Linked DNA regions of Tamandua tetradactyla. The protein of the gene in region 4 binds, or shares a complex with, the protein of the main gene of each other region. Links are inferred from orthologs where the notes say so. Each region holds a gene or a part of one and is shown on either strand. Other genes may lie near its edges. The genes, in order: ACTL6B, ARID2, DPF1 and SMARCB1.

Region 1 (7,961 bases), on a different chromosome or scaffold from region 4:
ATTCAGGGAATAAAAAAGAGTCCTTGGAAACTAAAACTACAAGAGCAGAAATGAAAAACTCAGAGGAAAAATTGAAATCGAGGGGGGATTCCCTAGAAATTAGAGCAAAAAGATAGAAATGGAAAAGAGAAAGAAAAGATAAGAAAACTAGAGAACCAATTCGGGTGGTGTAGAATCCAAATAACAGAACTTCCCAAAAGAGAGAATGAAGGAAATTGAGAGAAATCATTAAATAAATAATTGAAAATATTCTCACTGCACTGAAAGACATGGGTTTCAAGATTGAAGGACATACTGAGTGCCTAGAGCAATGGACGAAAATAGACCAATATCAAGACACACCATTGTGAAATTACAGAACACTGAGGACAAAGTAAAGATTCTACCAACTTTCAGAAATGAAAACAAGACATCAGAAATCAAATGGCTTCAGTCTTCTCATAACAACAATAAAAGCTAGGTGGCAATGAAGAAGTGCCTTCAAGATTCTGATGAAAAATAATTTCCAATCTGAAGTTTTATACCTAGCCAAGCTATCAATCCAAGGTCAGATATGCAAGATCTCAAAAAAAAATTTACTTCCCATGACCTTTCTATGGAAGTTACTGAAGTTCCTGGGGCCCTGGGTTGGGAGCTAGGCAGGTGTGGGAATCAGTGAAGTGGGGGGCCTCTGGGACTTGAGCAACTGAACATGAGGGGGTAAATCAAAAGGATTCATGAGATACAGAAACAGAAATGCTAACACAGGAGAGAAGCAAAAGGATTCCCTAAGATGATGGTGAAGGAAGATGCCAGGTATAGAGGGCAGGTAGTCCAGAGTGGAGAATATCAGTGGGCTCCTGGAGTGATTTCTTCAAGATGAAATTGGTAGAATACCTAATGGAATTAATGTTTTGAGAGAAGATGTAGGTAACTGGTAGATAATTGAAGGTCACATTACTGATAGGTAGATAGAAAACTAAGCAAATAAAAAAGCAAGCAAATGTCTGTTTTAGGGAGAACAAAAGGTTGTATAGGAAAGGAAATGTAATCATAGTTTGTTGCCTGGCTCAGCCTTGATCAGAATACACAGCAACAAGGGAGTAAACACTGAGGACTGATCTTTGAAGAAAACAAATTAAAATGCAACTATACTTAGGGGTGGGGAACAAGAAATGTGTGCAGTGTGAGGTGGAAATTGAGCTAAATGTTCATTTTATCTAGTGGGAAGTCCACAAGCAGCAATTTAAGCATGATATTTAGAGATCTGGAAGGAAACACTCCCCCCCCCAAAAAAAACACAAAAAATTGGCTGAAAGAGATGAGAAGCAGTTGTCTTTGGAAACGAGGAGTTGGAAGAAGGGGGTAGGAACTGCCCTTCTTTTCTTATACTCTATAAAGCAAATTGATTCTTTATGTGTATATAAAATGTCAAAAAACTTTAAGTTAAAAGGTCTAAAAAAAGGAATTTTGAGGGGAAGGGGTATAAAAGGGCATGTTTAACATGGATTGGGGGAAGGGCAGGTGGATAGAGCAGGAAGAGAGAGTGAGGGGTGGATTCTAAGCCAGGAAGGAAGGGAAGTGGTTGAAGAGCTCTGAAGTTGGAAGGAAAATCTGACAAGGGAGGATGTGGTATGACCAATGGTAGGGGCAAGAGGTGAGAGGTGCACGGTGGAAACGAAGTGCCTGGGCCCCAGGGCTGGACTAGGGGCTGGGCCGAGGCACTTACCGGGGCCTCGGACATGAGCACTGGGTGCAGGTTTGGTTCAGACTTGACATGTTTGCTGTAGGTGTGATCCAGGATGGCACGGAAGCACTCCCAGTCCTCAACTGGGCCCAGAAGACCAACGTGGAAATATGTGGTTGGGCAGGCAGGGGTCCCGGGACAGGAAAGAAGTAGAAAGGAAAGAGGCTAAGTTCAGAGAAAGGGGAATTGAGGCAGGTCTAGCAGAAAACCCCTCTCCCAAGAATCTGGTGGGCCCCTGGGTTGGGAAGCAGGCAGCTGTGGGAAGCAGCAAGGGGCTCCCCAGGGCTGGGCAGTTGTAAGGAGGACTCCGTGGGTGTGAGGTGCTATGTCCCAGGTTGTGGGGAGAGGTCTCCCGCCTGTATCAGGAGGTGGTGGCTGGGGGCCCCTTACTCATGCCGTTCTTGAGAGGTGACATGACCTCGGCTCCATCCCGGGGCACGTGCAGGGCGTTGGTGTCGATGTGGAAGATCTTTCCTTTCTTCTCTTTCTCCCCCTCCAGCTCCAGCCCGCCCCCCTCCTCCGCGGCCAGCAGCCCCACCGTGGTGGGGAAGTCAGCCTGAAGGGGGGAGGGTGGGCAGGGAGAGGGATCACCCTCCTGCCCGCGTGCAGCTCGCCCCGGGGTTGACTCCCACACTCCGGGTCAGCAGAGGCTGGGCTGTGAGCACCCCAAGTTACCGGAAAGTCTGGAAGGGGAGTCCGGAGCCCCGGGGATTTGGGGAAGGGGCTGGAAGGCTCACCTTGGGGCAGTCCTCCCCAGCGTACCCAGCGCGGACTGAGAAGGAGCCAATGTCAAAGACCAGCGCCCCCACCTCATCTGTGCGGGGAGACACATGTGTCAGGGGTCCTCCCTCAAACTCTCTCCCCCTGGACAGCTCCAAGGGGAGGGCAGGGCAGAGCCACAGTCTCTAGTCTCGCCGCCTGGGACAGGTGGGGGCTTGGCCTGGAGTCTGGGGTCCTGGCAGTGGGGGTCAAGCCGGACAGAGTCCGTCCTGCCGAGTGGCCTTGCTCAGCAAAGAAGGAGGGGGGCCGGGGTCCCGGCGGCGGTGGGTTGAATGGCCGGAGGGGTTGGACCCGGTGCACGCGGGGCTTCCCGGGGAGGACAGAAGGTAGGGGTGGCGCGGGACCCAAGCCCCGGGCTGTTGCCGGCTGGGGCGCCGAGTTGACAGGCCTCGGGGTGCCCGGAGCTTGGGTCGCACGGGTTCGGGGTCCCAGGGCTCCGGCTCCGGCCCGAAGCCTGCGGCTCGCTCACCTCCGCCGTAGACGCCCCCGCTCATAGTGCCCTCTCAGCGCTGCCGGCGGCCCGTGGGCGGCGGCGGGATCAGCACCGAGGCGGCCGGACAGCTCCCGGGATCCCGGGCGGGGCGGGGCGCGCGGCGGCCAATCGGGAGGCCGGATCCCCCGCCCCCAACGGCGCTGCCGATTGGCTGCGAGGCGAGACAATAACCCGGCCCGGGGGCCGCTGCTTTAAAGGGGCAGAAGCCCCAGAGTGGGCGGGGACGAGAGGGCGAGGAGATGACCGGGACGGAGAGAACGGCCGTGCGGGATGGGCAGACCGAGAGGAGGAGTAGAAGGAAATGGGCTCCCCTCCGTCCGGAGAGCAGGACTCCGACGCATGTCTGATGGGGTCCCTGCTCCCTTTCTATTTAAATGGGGTCCGGGAAGAGGGCGCCGTAGTCCCGCAGAGTCGTCCATCCTCAGGCTCTAGAACGTGGTTCAGCAAAGCCAGGGTCGAGAGCAATCACCCGGAGAGGGAGGAGAGGCGAGAGGCAAAGAGAGGACCCGGAGGGGGTGTGTCTCCATCTTCTCATCTTTCTTTCCACCCTGGTCATTTTGATGGCCCCTCTTTTCCTCCCGCGCCCCCTAGTGCCTGGACCTCAGATACACACGTGTGTACACACGCTCACACAGAGGCGCTCAGCTTCCTTTCCCTACCCGCCTCTCTTCAGCCCCTTTTATTGCTCAGGAGGCATTTATGAAGCAGGTTTTGTATCCGCTCCTGGCTGGACACCTCCACAGCGGTTTTGAAAGGGACGGTGAAGGAGCGGCTCTTGCAGCCTAGGTTAGCCAAGAGCCTCTTGTGTAAGCATGCATGTGTAGGCGTGCACCCGTATATACTTGTTTATGTGTGCTTGTGCACGCGCATGCATATCTCTCTTTTCATGTGTACATATGTGCATGTGTATGTAAGCATGTATCGGGGACACTCTTACCTGCTTGTTTGGAGGCTGGTGGCAGGGGTGGGGGTGGGGGGGGGGGTGTCTTTAAGACCAGAAATGGCAGAGGAAGAGGGTACTGTGTGAGTACAGCCACAGCGTCCCTGAAGGGTCTCTGCACACCAGATGCCTATCCTGGAAGAAGTTTCACCCTTCCCTAGCCAAAGGGCAGATGGTTGAGCTGTCTCATTGATTTCCCACTGACCACAGTGGCATCTGAGGCACCTGGGGTTGGTCCTGGGTCCAGGACTGGCTCCCCAGTCTGGCGGATCTGGGCGCAGTGGGAGGATGAGCTGTAGGGGAGAGAGTAGACCCCGAAGCTGGGGCATTGAGACTATCCCAAGTGACCATAGATCAGTCATTGGCCTCTCTATGAATTGAGACCTAGGTGAGTTGGATGAGTGCCTTAACCTCTCGGAGTCTGTATTTTTTCATCTTTCAAAGTGTCGAGGTGAGGATTAAAGGAACACTGCAGGGAAAAATTATTCCATTCACAATCTGGTTTTATGATATTTAATGATGTAATCGTCACTTCCTGGGTAAATTCACCTGGTCAATTCCCACTACTCCTTGGGGGCAGCCACCTCACTGTCAAAACCTGCCCCCGTTGGAGAAACCTTAGTGAGCAGATGCCTAGGGAGTCACTGGGAAGGTTATAGGGTTGAATATGGGTTGGCTCCCCATTACATGGGATCTTTTTTTTTTTTAAGGTTTTTTTTTCAGTATTACATATTTTAATTTTTTAAAAATTTATTTTGTATTATCAAACCAAAACAGCATACAAACATTCCATGTATGGTGTACAATCAATGGCTCACAATATCATCACATAGTTGCATATTCATCACCACAATCATTTTTTAGAACATTTGCATCACTCCAGAAAAAGAAATAAAAAGAAAAAAGAAAACACTCACACATACCATACCCTTTACCCCTTCCTCTCACCGACCACTAGTATCTCCATCTACTCAATAGATTTTAACCTTTGTTCCCCCTATTTTTTTCTATACCCCTTATCAGCCCCTTTCATTGTTCACTAGTATTTCAATTTACTCAATTTATTTTTGACATTTGTTCCCCCATTATTTATTTATTTTTAATCCATATTTTTTACTCATCTGTCAATATTGTAGATAAAAGGAGCATCGGACACAAGGTTTTCACAATCACACAGTCACATTGCAAAAGCCATATCACTATACATTCATCTTCAAGAAACATGGCTACTGGAACTCAGCTCTACAATTTCAGGCACTTCCCTCTAGCCTCTTTAATACACCTTAAACTAAGAAGGGGATATCTATAAAGGCATAAGAATAACCTCCAGGATAGCCTCTCGACTCTGTTTGAAATTTCTCAGCTACTGACACTTCATTTTGTCTCATTTCTCTCTTCCCTCTTTTGGTGGAGAAGGTTTTCTCCATCCCTTGATGCTGAGTCTCAGCTCATTCTGGGATTTCTGTCCCACGTTGCCAGGGAGGTCCACAACCCAGGGAGTCATGTCCCATGTAGAGAGAGGGAGGGTGGTAAGTTTGCTTGCCATGTTGGCTGAGAGAGAGAGAGGCCCCAGACATGGGATCTTGGGGTTTTGTTTGAATTGTTGAATGGATCAATTTCTTCCTGAAAGAGCCCAGCTCTCTTGTCAGCCATTGAGAGAGGGCCTTGTTTCATTAACAGCTCCGTCTTCCTCTCCAAGCTTCACTGTCCTTATCTATAGAATGGCTGGTGGTGAGGACTTAACCTGAGACCAGAATCAGGTGCCTGGCTAAGAACCGGGCCCCAGGACTACTCAGTAGTCATTGGTCCTTCAGAACATACTTGGGAAGTTTTTGAGGCTTTAATATTATTAAAAACAAGTCCAAATTCTGTAGTTTATCTGGTAATGAGGAGGGAAGTTTCCTCTCAAGCCTGGTGGAAAAGCTACAATCTGCTATCTACAGGACTGGACTTGGATTCCTTCCTAAGCAACTGTGTTCAACTTTCACTGGTCATGGGATCTGACATGAGTCCATTGTATTATGGGCATGGTTACAGTGAAGGGAGTTAATATATTTCATTTGTCCACTCACTGACTCAAGGGACTTTTTTTTAAATGCTTACTGTGTGCCAGGCACTATGCTAGGCATGGGATTACCAAGGTGTCTAAGGTATTTCTGCTGTCAAGGAATTTTTGAGCTGGAACTTAGATCTAAATGGAAGTAGGGTGCATTGAAGACTCAGAAGATGGAAGAGCTACCTGTCTTTGAGAGCCCAGGAAGGTTTCTAGAAGTTTGAACTGAATCATAAAACATTTTGGTACATGTGGGAATAGTTAGGAGTTCGATCTAGAAGGAGGATTAGACATGAGCTGTTGGCAGAGGCCAGTGCCACTGGGGGATGAGACTAGACAAGTCATCAGAGACCAGCTCTTTCATGCCTGTAAGTATTTAAAAAAAATTTTTTTTTTTGCTTTTTCTATTTTCTTCTTCTTTTCTGAAACTATTTTTATTTAGCAGACACAAAGCATCTACTTTATGCCAGGTACTGCTATAAATGCCTTACCAATATTAAGTCATTTAATTTATCCCCAGTTTGCAGATGGGGAAACAGAGGCATTATTCTAGTCTGCTAGCTGCCGGAATGCAATATACCAGAAATGGAATGGCTTTTAAAAAGGGGAATTTAATCAGTTGCTAGTTTACTGTTCTAAGGCTGAGAAAATGTCCCAGTTAAAGCAAGTCTATAGAAATGCCCAATCTAAGGCATCCAGGGAAAGATACCTTGGTTCAATAAGGCCAGTGAAGTTCAGGGTCTCTCTCTCTCTTAAGTGAGAAGGTTCATGGTGAACACAGTCAGGGTTTCTCTCTTGGCTGGAAGGGCACACGGTGAACAAGGCGTCATCTGCTAGCTTTCTCTCCAGGCTTCCTGTTTCATGAAGCTCCTCGGGAGGCGTTTTCCTTCTTCATCTCCAAAGGTTGCTGGCTGGTGGACTCTGCTTCATGGTGCTGCAGCATTCTCTGCTCTCTCCGAATCTCTTTCATTCTCCAAAGTGTTTCTTCTTTTATAGGTCTCCAGAAACTAATCAAGACCCACTCAGATGGGTGGAGACATGTCGTCACCTAATCCAGCTTAACAACCACTCTTGATTAAATCACATCTTCCAGGGAGATGATCTGATTACAGCTTCAAACATACTTTGAACAGTATTGAATAGAGATTATTCTGCCTTTACAAAATGGGATTTTGATTAAAACATGACTTTTCTAGGGGACATACATCCTTTCAAACCAGCACAGGCATGGAGGTTAAATGACTGGCCCAAGGTCACTCAATTGGTAAGTGACAGAGTTAAAATCTAAACCAAGGCATATGAAAAATGTTAATCCTGGGCAGGTGTTATGCTTTCATTCATTCAATAAATGTTCCCTAGGTGTCTGGTAGGCACTGGGAATAAAGCATAATACAACTTCCATTGAGTTTAATGTCTGTCCAGGAAGGTAGATGCCTAAATGATTAATTTCATAAACAGATCTGATGGTTCTCATATTTCAAGCTCCCATTCTGGGTGGACAAACCTGAACACCTGGTAAGAAGGTCCAAGGCGGTAGGAGCAGGCCTCTCAGACCCCATATCCTGTAAATGTTTTGGCATCTTCCGGGGGTCTGTTCATGGTTTGCTGAGCTCTCATCCAGAACTGTGTCAGATCAAAAGTGTGCCTTGGCTTCACTGAGAGCCGCTGGCCCAGTGCAGGTGGCAAATGCCCAAAAATAAACAGAGTCCAGTAAAGGCTGCAACAGGAATGGAGCCAGCATTGCAGCGGGGCACAGACAACAGCATGGTCCTGGAATGCTTCAAGGAGAGGCAATATTTAGATTGAGCCTGAGAAAATGACCTGAATTGTCCGAGCTGACAAGGCAGCGGGGGGTGGAAGACATTCTGAGTAGAGGGGACAAGACCTGGCCTGTGTGTCATGCAAAGAAGTTTGGCCCTCTTTGTGGAATTGATGGGGAACCACTGCTTGATTTTAAATAGGAGAGTTA
Region 2 (7,571 bases), on a different chromosome or scaffold from region 4:
CATAAATATCAGGGGTAATTTTAAAATATAGATTTTAAACCATCTAAAATCTAAAGGATAAATCTGATGAATAAAACTAGAACATGTATTTAGCATCATTCCTCTCAATATTATATTGGGATATTATAATATTTCCATGCACAATGGAAACGAGCAAGTGAATGTCACCATAAATACAAAATTCTATACTTCTCACCCCATTACAAAATCAAGTTTGAGCAATTGACATTGTTTGTAAATTTTGCCCTTTATTTAAAAATATACTGAAACACATGCCATCACAAAAACAAAACAAACAAAAAACAAACAGCAACTAACCCTACTTAATAGTTTCTAGACTTCTGTATAACTCAGTAACTACTCCACAAAGTTCTGTGAACTCTTCAGCTTGAAGTCTGAAGTCACTCTAAGATAGCCAATAGAAAGTGCACCTGTGCAAGTTCTGCATTTCCTATTTCAGAATGCTGAAAATGACACACAATAGTAACTGTGTATTTTGAGCAGTAATAAATGCAAAACCCAAAGTATGCAGAAGCCACATTACAAAAAAATAGCCATTGTGTAAAATCACTATTAAAAAACAATAAACCAAAGGGTATTATTTTAGTTTTGAATAACAACCACCAACTAAAGGACGCTCTATGGATAAACAAACATTAAAAAGAAAAGATGACATAATAAATTACAACATGAAAATATTCCTAGAATAAGCGGGAGGACAAAAACCCCTAAATCACAAAATCTATCACATACTAACTGAATAAGAAATTTACTCTGCTAAATAAGGAGTCGAAAAGAGGGAAAATAAAAAAATTCCAAATCACATCACACGTCACAGTACCCCTTATTTTCCTAAACATATAATAATCCTTTTAAATATTAAGTCATTCAACATTTTGAGGAAAGATAATTCTAAAATCAATCCTGGTCACCTAAGGCATCAACATGTTAAATGTAAATACCAACTTAAAAACTACTCAATGGCATGGTTGTGTACTCAAGGTTTCATTAAAAAAAAAAATCTTAAAGTCATAAAAAGGTAAAAGAGTTTCCAAAACAAAGAAAAAATTTTCCCAAGGGATACAAAGTTTCATTAACTATCTTAACTCTTATACTAAGCATCACCTTTCTGCCCCTTGGTGGATATCGAACAATCAATAACAATGTCACAAAAGAATATTTACCAAGAGTGGGGGTGGGGTGTCACCTGTAAAGTTTTCATATGAAAAATGTAAACAATTCTAAAATAGGTGAGGAAAACTTGCACCTTCCTACAATCACACTTTATTGATAATGTTTCTTCGAATGAAATAAGCGATTAGAAACTGTTTTGTGTGCAAGGCTTTGTTTTGTTTTGCTAAAAACAAATTTCCCCCCTTATTTCCAAATACTGTTAAAGAATCACTACTACTTACCGCAAGTAATACTGTTTTAAAGCAAAGGCAGCGTTAGAACAACTTCTGGGAAAGTTAAACTCTTCAACAATTTCTCCCCACTGATTCTTCTCAGAAACCTGTTAAAAACACAGGCATACTTGCTTGAAACTGCACAATCCAAGAAAACCCTGACTTAACTATGAAATAAATACCCATTCTACAGAGATCTGGATATACCTAAGTCTTCGGTGGTTATTTCGGTTCGAGCCAAAAGAGTTACTATGCAAGAGCTGTGTGAATCACTGTTTTCACCAGAGAGCCCCGTATTTAATAGCACTTGTTTTGTTTGGGGGGGGGTTTGGTGGGTTTGTTTTGTTTTTGAAGCCCGGACAATAACCAATCGCAAGTCCCTCTGTCGCCCCCTTTTAAATCTCAACGCGGTCCGTTTACACTAAAAAAAAAAAAAAAAGTTCAAAAGGATCAATACCGTTCCGGACAGCGACGTCCGCGGGTTCTGGGGGGGGGGCCGGGCCCGGGGCCGATTCCGATCCCTCTCCCAGATCTATCCATCTCCATAGGCCCTTCTTTGAGGCCTACAGCTTCTGCCTAGCCTTGAAGCCTAAGATGGCTATTTGGAGACAGGTCCTGGTTTCTTTTGTTAGCCGTATAAACCGAGGGCGACTGGGCCGAGGCTGTGCCCCCGGCTGCCGAGATCATTTCGCAGCCGATTATCGATGTTAAACCTGCCCGCGCTAATTTTGAGTTGCACGAAAACTGCTCTCAGAGTCTGTGTGTCTCTGTGTCTCCGCCTGTGCTAGAGCGGCAGCGGCAGCAGAGCTGACGAGCGAGCGAGCGAGCGAGCGGGCAGGCGCGGGCGCGGGGTTCCGGCGGGCTCCCCGCTCGCCCGCACTCCCCGCCGTGGCGCGCCGACCCCGCCGGGCGGGCCAGGCACCCGGCAGGGCGCGAGCCGGCGCCGGGCCGCCCGCCCGCCGGAGCCCCGCGCCCACCGCGCGCACGCGAGCCACCAGGCCAAAAACAGCCCCGCCGCCGTCCGCCTCGGTGCCACCGGCTGAGAGCGAAAAGAACGCCTTTTGCCCCCGCGAGTCAACCCCCCCAGCCCCGAGCGCCCACTCCGGGGTCAAAGGAGACTTTTTGGAGGAGGCCAGCGAGAGGGAAATACAAATTAAAACTTCCACTCACCTTCGCGAATCCGCCTAAAGTAGTGACTCTGGTGTAGAGACCGTGAAGATCCAGCTCCTTCCCACCCACCGCAGGGATTTTTTTAAAAGGCGACCTGCGAAAGAGAGAATGCCCCGCACTTGTCAGCCGGGACCCCACACTCGGCCGGGGCGGGAGAGCCCCGTTCGCCCCGGCTCGCCCGGCACTGCCCCCCCGGTTCTGCTCTCACCCTCTGCTGTGGTGGAACTGCCGCAGCTCGTCCAGGAAAGCGAGTCCCTTTCTCCGCTCGTCCGGAGGCGCCTTTCCCGTCGAGTTTGCCATTATTTTTTCAAAGGAGGTTTTTAAAAAAACCAGATCGGTGTTTTAAAAGCGTCCCCCGCTCCCTGCGCTTCCTACCAGAGCCCGGAGCCCATTCCTCGGCCGGCGGCGGCGGGGCTCAGTCATGGGCCGGCGGTGGCGGCGGCGGCGGCGGCGGCGGCGGCGGCGGCGGCGGCGGCGCAGGGAGGGAGGGAGGGGGAGGAGGAGGAGGAGGAGGGGAAAGAGGGAGCAGGAGGCCAGGGGGAGAGGAGGGAAGGAGGGAGGGGAATTTCTAAAAAAGTTTAAAGAAATCGGAGCGAAACTAGAGGGACAGGCGAATGCCGGATCCGCGCGAAGCCGCGGGGCGAGCGCGGCCCCCACCCCCACCCCTTCCTTCCCTCCCTCCTCGCGGCCCGGCTCTCGTCCGCCTCAGCGCCGCCGGCCCAGGCGGCTCGGCCCAGGGACGCGATTCAACATGGTGCTGCTGCCGTGCGCGCGCGGGCGGGCGAGGGGAAAGGCGAGCGGACGGTGAGGAGCCGGGGCGGTCAGAGACCAGGGAGTTTCGGCGACCGCGGCGGCGGCGGGGCTGGGGCAGGCGGGGCTGGGGGTGGGGAGGGGGAGGTCTGTGTGGTGGTTTGTGGAAAGCGGGGTGACAGCGTATATTCCGGCCGCGGCTCCGCGGGGCCCTCGCACACATTCACGCGCGGCCTCGGCTGCGGCGGCCGGGGCGTCCTCAGGCAGAAGGCACCCGCGGCGGCTGAGCCGCTGCGCGCCGCCCGCCTGCTTCCCTCCCCGCCAGCCTCCCTCTCTTGTCGCTGCCAGCGCCGCCGCCACGGCCCGGCAGCCAGCGCCGCACAGCGACCCCCGAGGGCCGGCCGCGGCACTGCACCTGGCTCCACACCGCCCCGGCAGCTCCTCGCGGGGAACAATAGACTCGGCTCGCCGGGCTTAGGGTTCATCTGCAATGTGCCGCACAATTCACACGCACACAAAGCCGACGGAAAGGGGGGCGGCGCGGAGAAACGGCCACTACCGGTTGTTCAGGGTTAGGGGTGGAGGCGATGTTCGCGTCCCCGACCCGGCTATTGAAGGGCCGCCTGGTAGTCACTGCCAGTCGGACCGAAGCGGTGAGGTGCTCCGGAGGGAAATGAAACTCTGAGGGACAGCTCCTCAAGCTACGCAACATTCACAAATTGGAATAAAGTCAATTTGTTAACTTTTTTCCCCCAAGTCTAAAGGAATCGGCTTTTCTGAGCTTCATATCAGTATTCTGGAGCCTGGTTAGCACATTTTCCATGAATTACCCACTAACTTTAGCAAACTATACATTCGGTGGAATGCTCTCAATTCATATCATCTTTCGTTGGTTTCACTTATCAAAGTAGATTAATTCTACAATCATAGTTATAAAACAGTAAACTGGTTGGGATGCAATCTTTCGAACTTTGATAACGTTTTTATTTTCATATTAAGACATCTCAAAAACATATTTAAAATATTTTTCCTTGCTTTCTATCAAATTCCTTAAATGCAACCCTTGTTTAAAATATTTTGAAGGCTTAAAAAAAAAACTTAGCTTAAATGGGAGAATCAAACCATTTCAACAACCACCACTACCTAAGTCTATATTTACAGGGGGTGTTGCAGCCGGCCCCTTGCTACAAATGCCAAGTTTCACAGTAGAGCAACGTATTATTCCCATTTTAGTGGTGGTCACTACGGACAAAGTCCTAACCCAAGGTAGTTTGTGTCTGGAAGGATTATTATTCCAGGTAGTCCAATCACGCCGATGGGAACATTTATTTGGTGGTGAAAAAAATTATGTAATATAGCCCAGAATGCTATGCCTCTGGTGCTCACTTTAGGAATCGGGATTATTTCCCAAGAAAAGTTTCTCTCTTATAATGGGTTCGAAATAAAGCTGTAGCTAGGAAACTCCAGACACCCCAGGGCCTGTGGGGGTGGGTGCGGTGAACCAGCCAAAGGAGGTCGAGATGCTGGGCAGTGGCCCAGGCGGGGAGTGGGAGTGGGAGTGGGGGTGGGGTAGGAGGGAGAGACCCGGTCATCTGTCCCTTCCCCCACCGCCGGTCCTCTTAGGGGTGGTGGAGATGTGGGCCGCAGATCTCCGCGGCCCGGCTGTGCGGATTCCCTAAACGTCGCACTTGCTCACGGCCCCTTACGTAACTGTCAGCGCCGGGGATTCCCTAAAGGGGGTCATTCTATTCAACCATTACACACACCCAGGGCCCCTGCCGCCGCCGCCTCACAAAATGGCGGCGCCCATAGAGGAGACAGCAGTCGCTTCCTCTGCCCCATTTTGTGGGAGGCAAGAGACCCGTCAACATGGAATACCTCCGCTGAGGACGCATCGAGTTCTGAAATCTTGCTGAAGGGATGGAGCCAAGAGGATCTCCTTGGTTGGGAAATGCCAGCGGCTTTTAGCACCTCTACGCTTTTTTATTTTTTCATTTTCTCGAAGGAAGAGTCAGAAGCCGCCGGCGTAATTGTATCTGATGGGAGAAGGGAAAGCTGCGGCTGCCTGCTCCAGAGACTCAATAGCTTTGATTGCTTTTCCACATTCCTCGGCAGCAGACTGCGATCCAGTGGAGGGTCGCCTGGGCAGTCCGGCTGTCTTGTATGGGACGGGAACGGGGCGCATGCGGAGCGGACAACACCGGGCCTTGGCAGCGCCACTTGTGCAGACTTTCCGGTAGTTTTTAAATGCTAGGGATCACGGCCCAGTCTAGTCGTCTGAGTCGTGAGCTTCGGGAGTCCCGGAGGCCCCTGGCCTGGGAACTCACGTTTGCGCCGGGAGTCGGGTTGCCGGCGGCGGGCGGTGCTGTCGAATTCCGGTGGCCGAGGCGCACCGGGTCATTGCTGACCGGCCCCGGGCCAGGGAAGGTGCTAATGGGGCTGGAGTGGGAATGAAGGCATGTACGCTGAAATTTAAGTCTTCCGAGTCAGGATTTAGGGTTGTATGTTAGGTTAAACCTTAGAACGTTTTTCTAGTACCAACTATTCAGTGAACGGTCTAGATTTTTTTTTTAATTTCTATTTCGAAGGACAAAATGGAGACATTTTATGTTTTTACTTTTCAAGGAGAGATTGCCACTTTTAAACCACTAACTGCTATTAACATATGTGTATGTAGACACATGCGTATACAAAAGTATGTTTTGCTTTTCAGCGCAGGATAAAGATTTGGAGTTTTAATGTATCTTAAGAATTAAGATTTGATATGAATTGTTTTTTTATAAGAAATAAAAAAACTGCTTTTCTGTAGAAGAGGCTGTCATCGTCAAAATGGAGTCCTTATGTATATCTGATAGAATTTAAATTCCTAACACTTGGACATACTCTGGTCAAAGTTTTAAAAACAGAAACATAAAACTTGATGTTTATCTGATCGCTACCTGGTTTAATTTCCCCCGATTAGAAAAATGTAGGACGAAGAAGCTAAAGAAATGTAAAGGTTTAAAGAAAGACGAGATTCATATGATAATACTTAAATATGTATTGCATGCATAATTGATTTTGTGTTGTTTTCCATTATCAGCAATCATTTGTGTTTGCATGACTCTTTTGACTGAGGTGTTTTTGTTTTTGTTGATTTTGACCCTCTATTCCTTTCTAATGCAGAACTCCAGCTTTCTGCTCCCTCCACCTCCATCACTAAGTTCCACGCCCCATCTCCTGCAGTACCCCGTTGCTACTTTGGCTTTTGGATCACTAAGATATAGTTTCTGGTCCTATCTGTTCCTACTGATGTCCTTTATATTTAATATGGTTACCACTAATCAGTCTGTGACTTCGAAAAACACCCTATCTTAGCAACCAAGTCGCCAGAGAGTTTTTGTTTTGTTTTGTTTTTTTTATTGGTTTGCACAAATAGTAACCCTAGTGCATAGTATTATATTTCTTAGTACCATATTGCATTTCCTATAGTGGGCAGCATAGAGCAGGTGGATCTTGGGAAGGAAATGTCAGAGATGTACTGGCAGCTTTACAGCAATAGATATTCTCCAACTTACTTGATAAGATATGTAATTCATAGTTTTCAAGTATTGATGAAAACTATTCCTATAAAAAATTACCAATAGCAGTGAAAACTGTTGAAATTCAATAGTATAATTTACTGTTCTGATGAAAAATGACAAGACTTTATGGTAGGAAAAATGCAAAGCATTGGTTTTAATAGTAACTGCAAACCTTGCACATCATAATTACAGGTTACTGTTATTTTATGTTCATCTTTGATTCTTGTAAGTTTCGCTATTATTTAGTCAAGAAGTTGTGATTACAAGTTCTCTCACTCAACTACACTTAAAAAAAAACTATACCCAGTATCAAATGAAGCATGTTAGATTATCACAACTGCAGAAACAACTTAATTGAAGAATTGGTATGTCAACTAATTAAAGAAATTTTGGGCTCTTAGGTTACTCTGAGGTTTAAAAGAATTGATTGAACATGGCTATTGAAGTTAAATTTTAAAGATGACCTTCCTAAGAAATATACTTTTGGTAAAATGTGAGAGTGCTTTCATGCCTACTGCATGTGCCTGTGTATTCTCCTGTACTTTACTTTTTTGTGTTGGCTAACTTGTTTTACTTGAAATTGATTCAAATATCAAATCATAGATGAGGCCTTTCCACTCTGATGGTGACTCTAATGAGTATTGGCAACTAAGCCTTTAAACAGTTTAATTCTACTTCAGAT
Region 3 (7,708 bases), on a different chromosome or scaffold from region 4:
TAGGGGGGTCAAGTGGAGAAGTCAACCCTGGAGGACTCACATTGCACATGGCAGCAGGGAGCATGCTCTTTGTGGGAGGGAGGGAAGAGGCTTTCCCACACTCAACCAGCAACAGAAGCAGGGATTCAGCCACTCATCCTGGGAATGATGCCCAGACCCTGGGGAAGAGACAACCAACCAGACCTTCACACACACTCAAACACCCATGAGGAAATACACTCAAACTGGATACAGGGGAACATTCACAGGGGAGATACAGATCATCTGAGGTGGTTGGACTCACAAAGAGAGAGGTCTATACCTGAACCCTCAGATCCACCCAGATGCTTGGGAAAGATAGACCCAGACCCTTGGATATACCTGTCCACACATGGGAGACACATTCAGACCCTTGGAGACACTCTGAGACACCCAGAGATACTGTCCAACCCTCAGCTACACCCAGACCCATAGAGGGACACAACCAGTCCCTAGCATACACCTGGACAAGGGAAGAGAAATAGCCAGCACTCTGATATCCCTGGACACATTCAAGAAATGATAAGGCCAAATGCTCTGACAGACAAGACACACAGGCAGAAATACACCTTGTACTCCAGATACTAATGGGAAGAGATTCTCCCAGACACCCCAATATACCTAGACACACTCAGGAAGAGAAATGGATATGGATATTCTGATAGCCCAGACTCACACAAGGAGAAATAAAGCTTCTACTACACCTGAAAAGAGACGCCAACACTGATGGACTCTGCTACAAATGGAGAGTTACAACCGGCATTCTGACACACTCCAATATATCCAAGAGGTAATACAGACACCCCACCACATCAGGACACACCCAGGGAGATGGATAGTCCATCACACATAGGTACCTACCAGAAGAGATAGGGCCAGGCATCGGATACATCCCGGCTCACAAGGGAAGGGAGACAGGTCAGAAACTTAATAGACCTAGACACAGCGTAATAGAGACCACTGTGCCCTTAAATACACCAAGGCCCACTTAGGAGGAGATACAAGCAGAAGCTCAGACACTCAGGGAAAACTGTAGAATCTCTGGAATATGCCCAGACACACTTGGACAAAACACACAGCCCACCAGTCACTAGAAGGGACACAAAGCCAGAGGATCAGACACACACTGAGATCAACACACACTTAGCCTACACTAGGGGCCCCAGCAGGCACAAGGCACTGCTCCACCCACCAATTTTGTACTCGCAGGGCCGGAGTCTGGGGTCCTCAAGGATATTGAGTCTCCGTTTCTTCCTCCAGCAGCGGGCAGGGTACGTGTAGATCTGTCCCGGGGCCAGACCTGGAGTGAGGAGGGAGGTAAGAATGCGGCCAAGAAGCTGCGGCCCCGCCCCACCCCTGCCCACCCGGCGGGTACCAGGCCCGCGGTGGGTTTTCTCCATCCAGATGTAGCAGTTGTTCTGGGCCACGCCGGTCTGCGAATCAAGGAAGGGCAGGCGCAGGCTGCGCTCAGCGCACAGGCGGGCGTTGTAGCTGCGGCAGTGCTCGATGGCCTCTCGGTAAAAGTCCTCGCCTAGGCTGCGGGGCGGGTGAGCGGGCGGGCAGCTGTCAGCAAGGGTAGGTGCGCTTGGTCACGCAGCACCCCTCCTCCAGCCCGGCCTTCCCAGAGTCAGGGATGGGTGGACCCATCCCTCCTATTTCACCTCTTCCCTCTTTGCCAGTCCTGGACCCTCAGTGGAGGGAGCAGACAGAACCAAGGGGTCAAGGGTTCCCCAATATGGGACTCAAGAAGGCCTCCAACTAAGAAGTAGATGCACACAATACAGAAACATACAAAAACACACCAGGACCCATCCAAAGATAACACAGATAAATCACACATAGACACACAGGATTCACACACAAAGACACATCCCAAGACTCACAAAGGAGAAACAGACAAATCTCACACATATACTGAAAAACACAAATATCCCGTCAAATACTGTTGAAAGAGATAGATCACACATATATCCATGCACAAACACACATCACATATCCAAAGATGCACAATACAAACAAATCACCCATTCAGAAATCACATAAGAACACACAACATGGAAACACCCATCACAACACACACACACACATGCACTCCAGAACACACACAGATACACAAATGTCAAAAAGACAACAGTAGAAAGAAACCAACCACATATGCACTTACACATATATCCAAAGACATAGCACAAACAAATCACACGGAATCATATACAGACATATAATACAAAGAAATCACACAGATTCACACAGGGTACACACACACACATTCAAAAAGACACACAACATAGAAACCAACATCTCAAATACCACATATCCAAACACACAAAGATACATACATATATATTAACACAGAAACAAACTACCCATCTTCACACAAAACTCTACAACACAAATACACATATGCCTACTTATCCAAAAACAGAGAACAGAGACAAATCCTGCATAGTTCCTAAGAACATGTGTACATGCTCAAAGACCCAAATATCAAAAGATAGTGCAAAATAAAATAAATCACACACATATTAAACACACACACGCAAATAAGTCACACACACTGCATTCCAAGACAAAGGTAGTGTGGACTTCAGTCGAGTTTACTAAGGCCCCCACCCCCCGGGCCATTTCACCTTCTCCCGGACCCCTGCTGGGTAGGGATGATGAACCCCTTCCCCAACGAAGACCCCGAGGATCCCCAACCCTCCACCCCGCCAGGAGCGGCGCCTAGGACACCTTCTTGCCGGAGGCATACAGTCACACACGCACCCCCGCGCAGCCCCGCACCCAGTGACAGCCCCCTAGACACCACAGCGGCCCCACCCCCGGCCGCCACACATACACACCCGCCCGCGCAGACCCGCCCGCGCGCCCTCCCCCCTCCCCCGGCCCGCACCACCTCAGGGGGCCGGGGATGACTGTGGCCATCTTGCTCCCCGGGTCCTGCCCCCAGCAGGTCCCCGCCGGGTCGGTCCTCCCAGCGCTCGGGCGGGCGCCGAGGCAGCCCATCCATTCATTCCCGGGGGCGGGAGGACGGGGGCCCCAACCAATCACCGCGGCGGGGCGGGCCGGCCCGGGCCATGCTGGGAGTGGTAGTCCCGGGCCTGGGGGCCCCGCGGACCCGGCGGCCTCAAGGGAGGGGGCGAAGCGCAGGGGGCCCGCGAGGCGGGGCCCGAGGGAGCGCCCACCGTCCCTCACACACGCTCACTCGCCCCACATCCTAGACGTACATGCACACACTCACACAAGCACACCTGGACTCACCCACGCCCACACCCCGCAGTTTTCACATTCATACACTCACAGGTGCCCACCCAGACATAAACACACTCACACACCCGCCCACACCGCTTCACACAGACCCCTTCATAGAGACTCACAGCTGCACTCACATTTACACTCACGCACACACTTCAATGCCAAGAGACTTAGAGACACCTTACAGGTTCCCACACAGACTTCCCACCAACGTGTGCACACACGCGGCTCGGCGACCTCCACGCCCCAGTGCCTACTCCCCTCGGGACTGACTCTGCCCCAGCCACTCTCCCAGCCGCCCCACCCTCCTCAACCCTGACACTGGTCAGGTGCTGTGGCCACCTCTGGGTTCTGCCACTTGCTTACCACTTGGCCATCAGCAAGTAACTTCATCTTTTGGGGCCTCAGTTTCCTCCTGTGTAAAATGGGGATGATGCCTCATAGAATTGTTGTGAGAATGAAGTAAGTAAATATGGGTAAAGTGTTTTAAAAGGGGCCCGACACATAGTAAGGGCACAATAAATTCATCCATTCCACAGAGGATCTGATATGCACTGAGGGAAAATGGCTAATGGTTATTAGAATGGATTCTGCCTGGCACACAGGCGATGCTCAACATCCATTTGCTGAGCGACTACATTTACTGAGCACTATGTGCCAGACACTGTGCCCTATACACATGGCATTTAATCCCCAGAGCAGCCTTCTAGGGAAATAACATTCTTATCCCCATTTTCCAGGCAAGGAACCTGAAGCACAGGGAGGTGAGGTACGTGCCCGAGATAACACAACCTTCGGCCCCTGGCTCACCCAGGTGCCATCCCCAAGTAGTTTATCCCCATCTTTCTCCCACTGTCACCCACATTGACACCACCCTAAGGGAATCCCCAGAGAATGAGCTGGCCCACCAAGTCACGCACACTCATCCAGTCTCTACACACACACACACACACACACACACACACACACACACACATACCACCTGAGCCTCCCTGTCCAGAGTTTGCATCCAGGATTCAGAGGCTACATGGATGGACAGTTTCATTCACGCCCACAATGCCCTCCTCGGCCAGGGAGCCCTACTGCAAATGGGGAGAGGGGGGCACGCTAGTCTTCATCAATTTTGTCACTCAGTGACTCACACACATACACACACACACGCCCTTAAAGAACCCCTCAGGTTCTCCATACACAGCTCACTCCTCTACCCTGAGACCCCCCCTCATCCTCCTAACTCCGGGGAGAGGGAGTCTCTGCTTCTATCTGGCCAAGAGTAGGTGGCAAGGTGGGTGAGAAGAGTGAGTGAGGGACACTGGCATGCCATCCCTAAGGTCAGGGCTTCCTGGCCCCTGTGGTGGCCATGCCATAACTCACCCCTGCCGACCCACTGGCTCACACTCAGAGGGAGCCTTTGCCACCTTCTCTCACCTGCTTCACCCTACAGATCCCTAGCACACCCTCTTGCACTTGCTTTCTACACTAGGAGCCACACACACCCCAACTCACCCCTTCCCCACTCCACAACCCTCACATCAATTTGAGCAAGCGAAGCCTGAGTGTAGACACCCCATCCCCTCCTTAGAGGCCCAGGTCCACCCACAGATCCAGGCTGACACTGGGAGAGGGTCTCCCTCCCCTTCCTCACCTCTAGTCGCTTCTGCAATCCCCTCCCCCCCACACTCTCCTACACACAGGAACCCCCAGCCCCACCCCCAGTGCCCACAGTACAAAGCAATATTGATAAAGCATGATACTACCACCTACCACCGTTATCTACCTTTAGTCAGGGCCAGACTCAACTCAGTGCTTTATAAATGTCACCTATGTAAGCCTCATAACAGCCCCATGAAGTAAAAAGAACTAGTATTGCACCCAATTGTCAGATGATAAAACTGAGGCTCTGAGGGAATAGAAAATTAGTGGCTCAAACTGGGGTTTGAGTGTAAACAGTCAGAACTGCTGAGAGCTGCATTCCCCAGCCTCCTGCTTGAGAGGGATCTGACTCCCACATTCCTCAGGAACATGTGGGCCCCTACCATGGCCTCTGCAGATCCCTGGTAAGGCCAGAGCAAAATGGGCGCTAACACTGCCAACCCCCTGGTCTCCAGACCCTGCAGTGAGCTGCCCTTGGGTGAGGGGCATCCCAATACCTGTGTATCTACCAACCCTCATAAGAACCCCCTTTCCCAGCCAGTTTGAGGGTCTCCCTCTTAGGAAAAGCATGTGTGTGTGTGTGTGTGTGTGTGTGTGTGTGTGTGTGTATGTGGTGTGTGCCACTGAGGGTAAGAGGGAAGCAGATGGGTGTCACAATCACACTCCCCTTCAGGATGACTTGAACCTCATACACCCCCTCCAAAACCACCGCAAAGCCACCGGTGTTGGCGCGTGCTGTAAGTCCCCGCCTCCCCCCCCATCACCACCACACACACACCCTTCTCTCCCAACACCTCCCCCCTCCCGCCCTCAGAAGCCAGCAAAGACTGGGGGGCCTCTGGTACAGCCATCAGGCGCGACCCTTCGCGGGGTTGCCCCCACTCCCCTCCTTCCCTCAGCACTCGATGCTCAAGGTCAAGGCTGCGAATGCACGGAGTAGAGGGAAGGGTGGGGGAGGTCGCCCTGGCCCCTTTGTGCGGCGGCGCCGCTACTCGCCCTCCGCCTCCTCCCCCAGGCCAGGGAGGGGAGGGGGGAGGGGAGCGCCGCGCTCGCCAGCCGGGTAGAGAGAGCGGGAGCGGCCGCGCGCCTGTCACTCGGAGCCCGCTGTCAAGGCCTGGGGCAAGGGGGTGGTGGAGAGCTGGGACCCGTAGTCCAGGATCTCAACGAGCGAGCGAGAGATGGAGAGAGGGAAGGAGAGAGAAGGATAGAGCCGGGGATGGCAAGGAGGGGGAAGGGGACCGGGTAGCTACGCTCAAACCCAGGCGTCCTGGCTCCCGACCACTGGGCCCAGGTAGAAGCTAACGCTCGGACCGGGAGAAAGGGAGGGAATCCTCGGAGGATGGGGTTCCAGAGCCATCGGTCCCCAGAAGGATGGGAGATGCTCTTGTTAGAGGTATATGGTCGGGGATTGCGGGGTGGGGGGTGGGGGGATCCTACGGTCTGAGACGACCGTGGTGTCTTGGACCAAAGCTGGAGATCCGAAGAGGAAAGAGTGGAGACAGCAGGAATATAACCCGGACACCCGACATCTCAGCTCCCACCCTAAAGACGCTCGGGCCCGGGTCCCCAGAGAAAGAGGGGAGAAAGAGAGAAAGGTGCCTGACTGAGGGAAAGAAGGATGGTGGGGATCCCGAGATCGAGGTAGGTCCTCCCAACTCTATACGGAGGCAGGCCCAGCGCCGTCAGTGAGATAGAGGAGAGGACGCTCCAAACCCCCTGGGTGGGGAAACTCGGCCTCGGCCGCCCCCCAGCTGGTGCCACATTCCTTCACAGACAGCGACAAAGAAGAGGCACCCCTGCGGCCCTGGAGGGTTTCCCTCCCCCAACCCTAGGAGGTGATACGGGGTGGAGGACCCCCAGGGGCGAGAGGGTGTGCTGGGCATCCCCATTCAACTACCAGCTGCGCGCTGCTTCCCCTCCCCAACGAGGGCGGGGGAGGGGCTCCTGGGTGTGTTCGGGGTCGGGGGGCCCGCGGAGACACTCACGACTTGAGCGGGTTCTGAATGGCGGTGGCCATGGCCCGCTCAGCGGGGCCGCCTCCGGCCCGGGGCGCCGCTGCCGCCGCGCGCGGGCCCAGCCCGGCCTGCGCCGCCCGCTCTGCCGCCCAGCGCGCTACGATTTCATTCATTCTTGGGGCTGCAGCGCGAGCGGAGCGGGGCGGGACGGGGGCGGGGCTCGGCCAATCCCCGCGCCTTCCGGCGCACGACGGGTCGTGGAGTCTAGGGGCGCGCAGCGGGGCCCGGGGGCGCCCCTGCAGGGACTACACGTCCCAGGGGGCGCCGGGAAGACCGCACGTCCATTGGCTGCTGGGGATACAGGGCGGGGCGGGACTCGCCCCAGAGCATCCTTGCCCCCTCCCTGCGAGTTCTCCCTGCCCAGCTCTCGCTTCCCACCTTCCAGGCAACCTGGGCGTGGGAGAAGGTGGTAGCCGGCTTCTGGGCCTCCCCAGGGTTTGTGGGTGACACCAGGCTCTGTCGTGTGTGCCTGCTTGTCCGGATACATTTTTCTGAGGAAGCCAGCATAGGTGTCAATCAATTCTTCCTAAATTTATTGAGCTCTATATGCCGGGCGCTCTTCAAGATGCCGAGCGTCAGACAAAATCGCTGGCTCAAGTTGTTGATTTTCTAGTGGAGAAAGCTGGTAAAAGAAAGTAAATAAGTAAGAGCATTTCAGAGGGTGAAAAGTACTATAAAGAAAAGAAAACAAGTTGATTCAAGAGAGAAGTGGTCTCTCTGTGGAGGTGACGTTTGAACTGAGATCTGAGGAAAGTACCAGCCATGCAAAT
Region 4 (6,988 bases):
GTGGAGGGCACTGGCCCTACCTGTAACCCAGAATCACTTCCTCTTTCTGGAGCTCTCTCTGCCCATCTGCCAAATGCTCGGCAACGCTGAACTTCCGTCCACTAAAGACCATTTTGATTTTTTCTCCCTTTTACTTGCCTAGCAAATTTATTAATAAAGATGTGTTTCTCTGGTGTTCACCGGTCAGAGGTTTACAGAACAGACGACCAGAGCATCTGAGCACCCAGGTCATTCTGGCTCTAGCCCCCTCCGCACTATGTGGCGTGTGTCATTTCCATCCGAGCGGAAAGCACAGTCTCTGTGAGGTCTAAGAAAAGCAATGGCACTAACGCCCCGTTACTGCCTCGCAGGTCCTGCAGGGCGTGGTCTCCCCACCTGCACCCAAAGCCCCTTCCGAAGGCAGGAGGCTGGGACGTGGCTCCCTGGGTTTTCCCAGAACTAGCCCCTGCCCTCTCTGGATCCAGGCATCCTGACAATGAAATGAAAGTGCTACACCTGGTGATTTCTTGGGGTCCCCTCAGCTCTGTGACTTGGCTCAGTGACTCCAGACCTGCAGATGGTAGAAGAGTGACATGCACACACTGCAACTGTGGGTGCCACCTCCCCTCCCACCCCAGGGTAGCTCCAGGGGCCGCCCCATGAGGCCCACACAGGGTGCCAGGCATCACCAGCGCTGGCCCACCCCTCTGAACACGGAGGCTCTTTTCTAAGGGGAAGGGCCAGTCACAAGAGCTACAGCCTAGCAACAGACAGCACTCTGATCTTGAACCCTTCCCTCAACTCCAAGTCTGATGACTGCGGAGCCTGGCTGGAGGCAGCAAACTGCCTCACTGATCTGGGACTCTACAGACGGGATCTCAGGAGAAAGGGTCGCACATATGATTACTCTTTCCCACTGGGGTGGGCAGGAGAGAATGGCTGAAGAGAAGACCACAAAGCATTCTAGAAAGGAAAACTTGTTAAGCAAGGATCTTAGGGACCATCTAGTGTTAGCATCTTGTTATACAGAGAGCGGTGACCCAAGGCAGAGCTGGGTTGGACCCAGCACCCTCTCCACTCCTCCCACTGGGCCACGGGCTTCTCAGCCACTTCTCATGTGGCTCCGCTAACAAACAAAAGCCTTCTCTTTAGAAGTAACACTCACTCGGAGTCAATGCCAAACAGACTGCCTTCTCCGCCCAGCAAATCAGGTAAGGGTGTTCCTTTTAACAGACAGCACTGGCATCAGGTACTGTCTCCTGGACCGCCTCTGTGCCCTGCATTTTACATGTGACCTGTTATCCCATCTATGGGATAACACAAAGAACTGCTTATACCCTGCCCTTAATGCTTTACAAAAATTGCTGAAAAATGGAAACACTAACTTTCTAGTGCTACTGACAACACGGAGCTACCACACGGGACCCAACTAACACAAGACCACTGTCTCATGTGTCCTGAAAGCTGGAGTGGGACAGTTACAAGGCTCGATTCATTCACACCAGATTTGATTGTGAAGAAAATAACACAATTTTTAAAAACACAAATGAAGGGTGCACGGATGGTTCATTGGTAGAATGCTCACCTTCTATGAGGGAGACCCGGGTTTGATTCCCTGACCATGCATCCCCGCCCCCATCCCCCCCAAAAAAGAATGAAATGGTGGCATATGGTATTGAAAATGGTCCCAGGAGAGATACTTGGCAATTTATAATTGCTTTAGCTCTCCAGGTTGGCACTTACCTCTTTACATGAGACTCTACTGCCTGACATTCACCCAGTTCAATTTTATACCCATGATTAAAGAAGGAAAAAAAAAATTAAAGGAATATACACTCACTGGGGACAGCCTTTAGGCCAAAAAGGGCCACTTACAGGCAATCTGACAAAACTTAACATATTTAAAGGGACTAGCTGTAGGATTTTCTTAAAGTCAGTGGTCCAGCTGACTCAACCAAAGCACTGTGGCTTCTCATTAAGGATTAAAGAGAGGGGATCCTGCCCCCTTAATAATTGCAAATCAGTCCTTCACACATATCCAAAGTGTCAATTTCTTCAGAAGTGCAGAAAAATCTAGCAACAAGCATCCTTTTCCCTGTCTGTTTCTTCAGCGGTAAACAAAGCTCAGAACACCTCCACCGTCCACCTCAGAAGCAGGAACAAAAGGGGGGACATGGGAGAGGATGAGCAATTTCACGAACTCAAATGGGGGAGAAGCAAAGGTGCATCTGAGTTTTTCAGCATCTCAAAAGTTTCAAGGGTAGTCATGCAGCTCCATCCCTACTCCTCCAGACCCCCTACGGGCTGCGGGACTAACAGAAGTATCTTGTTTCTGTGCACCTGGCTGGAGGTGTACCACTGGCACTTCGTGGGCCCAAAGTCCTGGAAGCACCCAGAACCAAGAAAAAATGCGGACGCGAACCCAGATTTTCCAAAGTGCGCGGGGGCGGGACCGGCTCAGACCACGCCCATGGAGGACGCGCTCCTCACCCGACCTGACCTTCCCACCCAGCCTCACCCACGGAGGCCACGCCCCTCTCGGGAAAGCCTTCCCTCCCAGGCCACGCCCAACAGAGACCACGCCCCCATCAGTCAGGCCTTCCCTCCCAGACCACGCCCACCGACGTCCCGCCCCGCCACCTCGCGCGCGCCCGCCGCGATGAATGGAAACGCGCGCTCCCAGCGCGCCGACCCGCCCCTGGACTCCCGCGGGGCCGGGCGGGGAGGGCGAGGGCGCGCCGCGGGCTACCTCAGAGCCGATCATGTAGAATTCGCCGTCGTCTTCCAGCTGGAACTTAACGGGCTTCTGCCCGAAGGTCTTGCTTAGCGCCATCATCATCATTGCGGCGGCGGAGATGGGCGGCCGGGGCCGAGCTGCGAGGGGCCTGAAGCGCAGAAGCGGGGCCGGGACGCGCCGCGCCGAGGAAAGCCAAGGCCAGCAGGCGAAGGCCGGGCCAGGCCGGGTACTGGAGCCGTCGCTGGGCTCCTCAGCAGCCGCTGCCGCCGCCGACCAGGCCGCTGCCGGAGCGCATGCGCGGGCGTTGACGCTGACGCGCGCGCCGCTGCTCCCCGGACAAAAGGCTGGGGCGCGCTTCCGCGGGCCTCTTAAAGGAACCGCGACTAATTTGTCTTGCTCCAGAAGAAGCCTGGAGGCCCTGACTATGTCGGTGGCTTACCCAGTCTCGGCCTGGAGCTGGGCCTGAAGAGCAGGATTAGGACAGAGCTGTGTCTTGAAGCCTGAGTGGCCTGGGCGTGCTTTGTGACACCATCCTCCCAGACCAGTGCCTCAGTTTCCCCAGGCCAGTGCCTCAGTTTAGTCACCTCGAAAGCGCAACTTTGCCTTGCTCAGTGCTTACAAGCCAGGCGACCCCAGACAGCCCTGCCTTGCCGCGCTTACAGCCCAGCACTAATGAAAGCATAAACCAATCAACAGATCCGGTTGCACCATGCAATAGGTAAAAAAGCAGTCCTATGTTGACAATTTCGCATCATTTAAAGTAATAAAATAATAAAACTCGTGATGGACCAAGATAATCAAAACTGCATGGTACTGGCACAAAGACAGACTATAGACCTATGGAATCTAATCGAGAGCTCAGAAATCAACCCTCACACTTAAGACCAACTGATTTTTTTAAACTTTTTTTTTTATTGTGAAATATATATACAAAAAAGCAATAAATTTCCAAGTACTTAAAAAAAATTCATGATGGGCTCTACAAAGAAGCCACAGAAGGAGTGGGGCAGTGGGATAAGGGACACTGCAGGGATAATAGGAAGGGTAAGCTGTAGCAACCTGGATTTTGTTCTGTGACCTGATAAAAGTGGGAAACCTGGGCGGGCCGCGGTGGCTCAGCGGGCAAAGTGCTTGCCTGCTATGCCGGAGGACCTCGGTTCGATTCCCGGCCCCAGCCCATGTAACGAAAACGGAGAAACAAAATACAATAAAACAAGAAAATGTTTAAAAGATGTTTCCCTTTCTTCCTCTCTTCCTTCCTTCTCTCTGTCTTTCCTTAAAAAAAAAAAAAAAAAAAAAAAAGTGGGAAACCAAAGTATTTTAAAACAGGGGCTAGACCATGGCATGATCAGTGGAGGATGGATTGAGGAAAATGACCATGGAAGCTGGAGGCTGATTAAGAAACCCTTACAGAGAAGCTGAGCCTACTTATAATTATGCCTAAGAGTCACCCCCAGAGAACATCTTTTGTTGCTCAGATGGCCTCTCTCTCTAAGCCAACTCAGCAGGTGAACTCACTGCCCTCCCCTATGTGGGACATGACTCCCAGGGGTGTAAATCTCCCTGGCAACGTGGGACAGAAATCCTTGGATTAGCCAGAACCTGGCATCAACAGATCAAGAGAGCCTTCTTGACCAAAAGGGGGAAGAGAGAAATGAGACAAAATAAAGTCTCAGTGGCTGAGAGATTTCAGATCTGGGAGGTTATCCTGGAAGTTATTCTTACACATTGTCTAGATATCTCTTTTTAGTTTGTGGTATATTGGAGTGGCTGGAGGGAACTACCTGAAACTGTTGAACTGTGTTCTAGCAGCCTTGATCTTTGAAGAAGACTATATAACTATATAACTTTTATTTTGTGACCACGTGATTGTGAAAATCTTGTGTCTGATGCTCTTTCTATGAGTACAAAAATAAATAATGGGGGATATCAGGGGTAAAAAAGAATTGGGTAGATTGAAACACTAGTGGTCAATGAGAGGGACGGGTAAGGATATGGGATGTATTTTTTTTTTCTTTTTCTTTCTTTTTTCTGGAGTGATGCAAATGTTCTAAAAATGATTGTGATGATGAAAAGAAAATCGAATGTGGTGATGAACTATGTGATGATACCATAAGCCACCGATTGTAGACTTTGGGTGGATTATATGCGACATGAAAATATCTCAGTTAAGATTGCATTTAAAAGAGAAGAAGTCCCTACAGGAGTCCAAGTGAGATCTGATGGAGGAATGGAGCAGGAGGGGACCCAGAGGCTTGGAAGTGGACGGACGTGACCCCAGCTCCCTGTGCCTCCAGGCCCAGCTCTGTCCTCATCCTGGGCACAACAGAAAGACAACCAGGCAGGCAGGTAGAAAATGACTGCATTTAATGACAGTTCTCCACTTAAAATTTTAAAAAAAGGCTTTATACACACTGTACACATATGGTTTGGGAGGAGCCCAGTGATATGGTGTCAGAAGGGGAGCTGGAGGGAAGCCAGCCTGTGGAAGGAATGAGGTATGTTGGGGTCTCGAGGACCCGGGATCCCTGACCCTTCAGGCTTGCATCCTGGAGCCCAGCTCTCCGGACTCACCCACCGAAGGCCACCGGGTCCCAGCACCCCTGCGAAGCCAGCTTCCCAGGGACTGGCTTTGCCCCATGGCCCAGGAGCTCGGCTAGGACAGGAGGCCAGGAGGGCCCCGGGGGTCCCTGCTTTAGGGCCAGCGGGGAAGGACGGAGAAAGGATGTCCCCGCTGGTCTGGCCCTGCTGAAGTCCCCTGGGGCAGGGATGGAGCCCCCCGGCCCAGCCTGCAGCTGTCAAAGTGGCAGGAGCCCTGAGGAGACACGGCTCCCAGCCAGAGAGGTGTCAGGGGCCTGCCTGGCCAAGGTCAGGGCCCCCTAAGGTACCCGGGCTGAGGGTCAGTGGAAGGTGTTGGCAGGCTTGGCACAGCCAAAGAAGTCGGGGCCCACGAGGCGGGGGAAGCCCTCCACGACCTTCACCTTCACAGGATCAAACTTCCAGTAGAGGCGGCCCCGCAGGAAGTAGGCATAGCCTGGGGAGAGAAGGAGGGCAGGCCTGGGCCAGTGGACACTGGGCTCTATGCCTGCCCAGCACACCAGGCCTGGGATGGGTGGGGAGGGCTGTGCAGAGCCCATGGGGACCGCCTTTCCAGAAGCACCCCTCCTCTGGTTCCCTCTCCTCCAGGAAGCCCTCCAGGCTGCCCCAGCGCCTGTTCCCAGTCTTCCACCTGGCATGATGGACTCCCAGAGCCTCAGAGGTCCAGTTCCTAGGTCTCAGAAAGGCAACTCACTGCTTCCCTCACAGCCCCCTGACCTTCACGTCAACCCCCCCACCCCGACCCAGATGACTGATGGGCATCCTGGGTGACATGGGAGACCTGGAGCCCCAGAGTTCAAGCCCCTCCAGAAAGCCATCCCAGAGGGTCCAATGTGGGAGCATGCAGCAGAGGAGAGAGCACTGGACTGTGAGTCCTTGGGGGAGGGGGGCATTGCAGGGTTCAGTGTTTAGGAGCAGGGACTGGCTGAGTGGCAGTCCTGGCTCAGGCCACTTTCCACCCCCATGGCCCAGTTAGGAACCTCATTGGCTCAGCCTCTGTTTGCTCCTCCAGGAACTGGGTCGATAACGGGCCATATTCCTTGGGCTCATTCTGGGAATTTTGAGATGATCCATGGAAGGAACTTAGCACTGGGCCTGAAGGATCAGCCCCAGTGGGTGGGCAGTGGTGGTTATCTTCGCCATTAGACGAGGGGGCCAGCAAGTCCTGGTGCCTCTTTGACCCTCTGTCTCCTCATCAGTAATAGGGAGGATGGCAATGCCCCACCAAGAGGGGGCAGGGGAATGGGGATGGCCTCCCGCTCCTCCCGGGTGGGAGGTGCGGCCACTGCACCCTCATTGCCCACCAGCCACCCTGTCCCCAACGCACTGTCAGCATCCTGGAAGGCAGCGTCGATCTCAGAGGGTACCCCCTGCCAGTCGGTGGCACGGCGGGGCACGGGACTGTCCACGCGGTGTGTGCTGGCGTGGAAGCGCCAGTAGTCACCGCCTCGGAAGAAGTAGATCTTGTTCTTCTCGGAACCCCAAACCAGGGCGGCGTGAATGGGGAACCCCTCCATGCCCAGCTCCGAGATGGGTGCAGGTCCCAGGACCAGCTTCTCCCCATTGTACACCCAGTACTGCGCACCTGCCGGGAAGAGACAGAGGGAGGACACAGGAAGCTGTGGCCAGCTGCAAGGGCCCGCCACGGAGCCGCCCGGCTGCCACGGAACCTTC

What was found.
Region 1: SMARCB1 (region 4) and ACTL6B share a complex: the UniProt entries of both Homo sapiens proteins name them as parts of the BAF complex. The link is inferred for Tamandua tetradactyla from reciprocal best matches to the Homo sapiens genes SMARCB1 and ACTL6B.
Region 2: SMARCB1 (region 4) and ARID2 share a complex: the UniProt entries of both Homo sapiens proteins name them as parts of the SWI/SNF-B (PBAF) chromatin remodeling complex. The link is inferred for Tamandua tetradactyla from reciprocal best matches to the Homo sapiens genes SMARCB1 and ARID2.
Region 3: SMARCB1 (region 4) and DPF1 share a complex: the UniProt entries of both Homo sapiens proteins name them as parts of the neuron-specific chromatin remodeling complex. The link is inferred for Tamandua tetradactyla from reciprocal best matches to the Homo sapiens genes SMARCB1 and DPF1.

What each region holds. Positions count from the first base shown.
Region 1 is NC_135349.1:8,743,237-8,751,197, forward strand, and holds the start of ACTL6B (actin-like protein 6B), read right to left. Parts: upstream 3,001-7,961; coding exon 2,976-3,000; intron 2,541-2,975; coding exon 2,464-2,540; intron 2,283-2,463; coding exon 2,117-2,282; intron 1,810-2,116; coding exon 1,709-1,809; intron 1-1,708. UniProt on the Homo sapiens protein: Involved in transcriptional activation and repression of select genes by chromatin remodeling (alteration of DNA-nucleosome topology).
Region 2 is NC_135333.1:105,665,162-105,672,732, reverse strand, and holds the start of ARID2 (AT-rich interactive domain-containing protein 2), read right to left. Parts: upstream 3,014-7,571; 5' UTR 2,877-3,013; coding exon 2,785-2,876; intron 2,671-2,784; coding exon 2,577-2,670; intron 1,514-2,576; coding exon 1,416-1,513; intron 1-1,415. UniProt on the Homo sapiens protein: Involved in transcriptional activation and repression of select genes by chromatin remodeling (alteration of DNA-nucleosome topology). Required for the stability of the SWI/SNF chromatin remodeling complex SWI/SNF-B (PBAF).
Region 3 is NC_135342.1:25,754,273-25,761,980, reverse strand, and holds the start of DPF1 (zinc finger protein neuro-d4), read right to left. Parts: upstream 3,004-7,708; 5' UTR 2,941-3,003; coding exon 2,912-2,940; intron 1,555-2,911; coding exon 1,211-1,554; intron 1-1,210. UniProt on the Homo sapiens protein: May have an important role in developing neurons by participating in regulation of cell survival, possibly as a neurospecific transcription factor. Belongs to the neuron-specific chromatin remodeling complex (nBAF complex).
Region 4 is NC_135331.1:25,825,950-25,832,937, forward strand, and holds the start of SMARCB1 (SWI/SNF-related matrix-associated actin-dependent regulator of chromatin subfamily B member 1), read right to left. Parts: upstream 3,007-6,988; 5' UTR 2,822-3,006; coding exon 2,729-2,821; intron 1-2,728. Other genes in the region: MMP11 (stromelysin-3), read right to left, coding at 5,617-5,750, 6,642-6,899.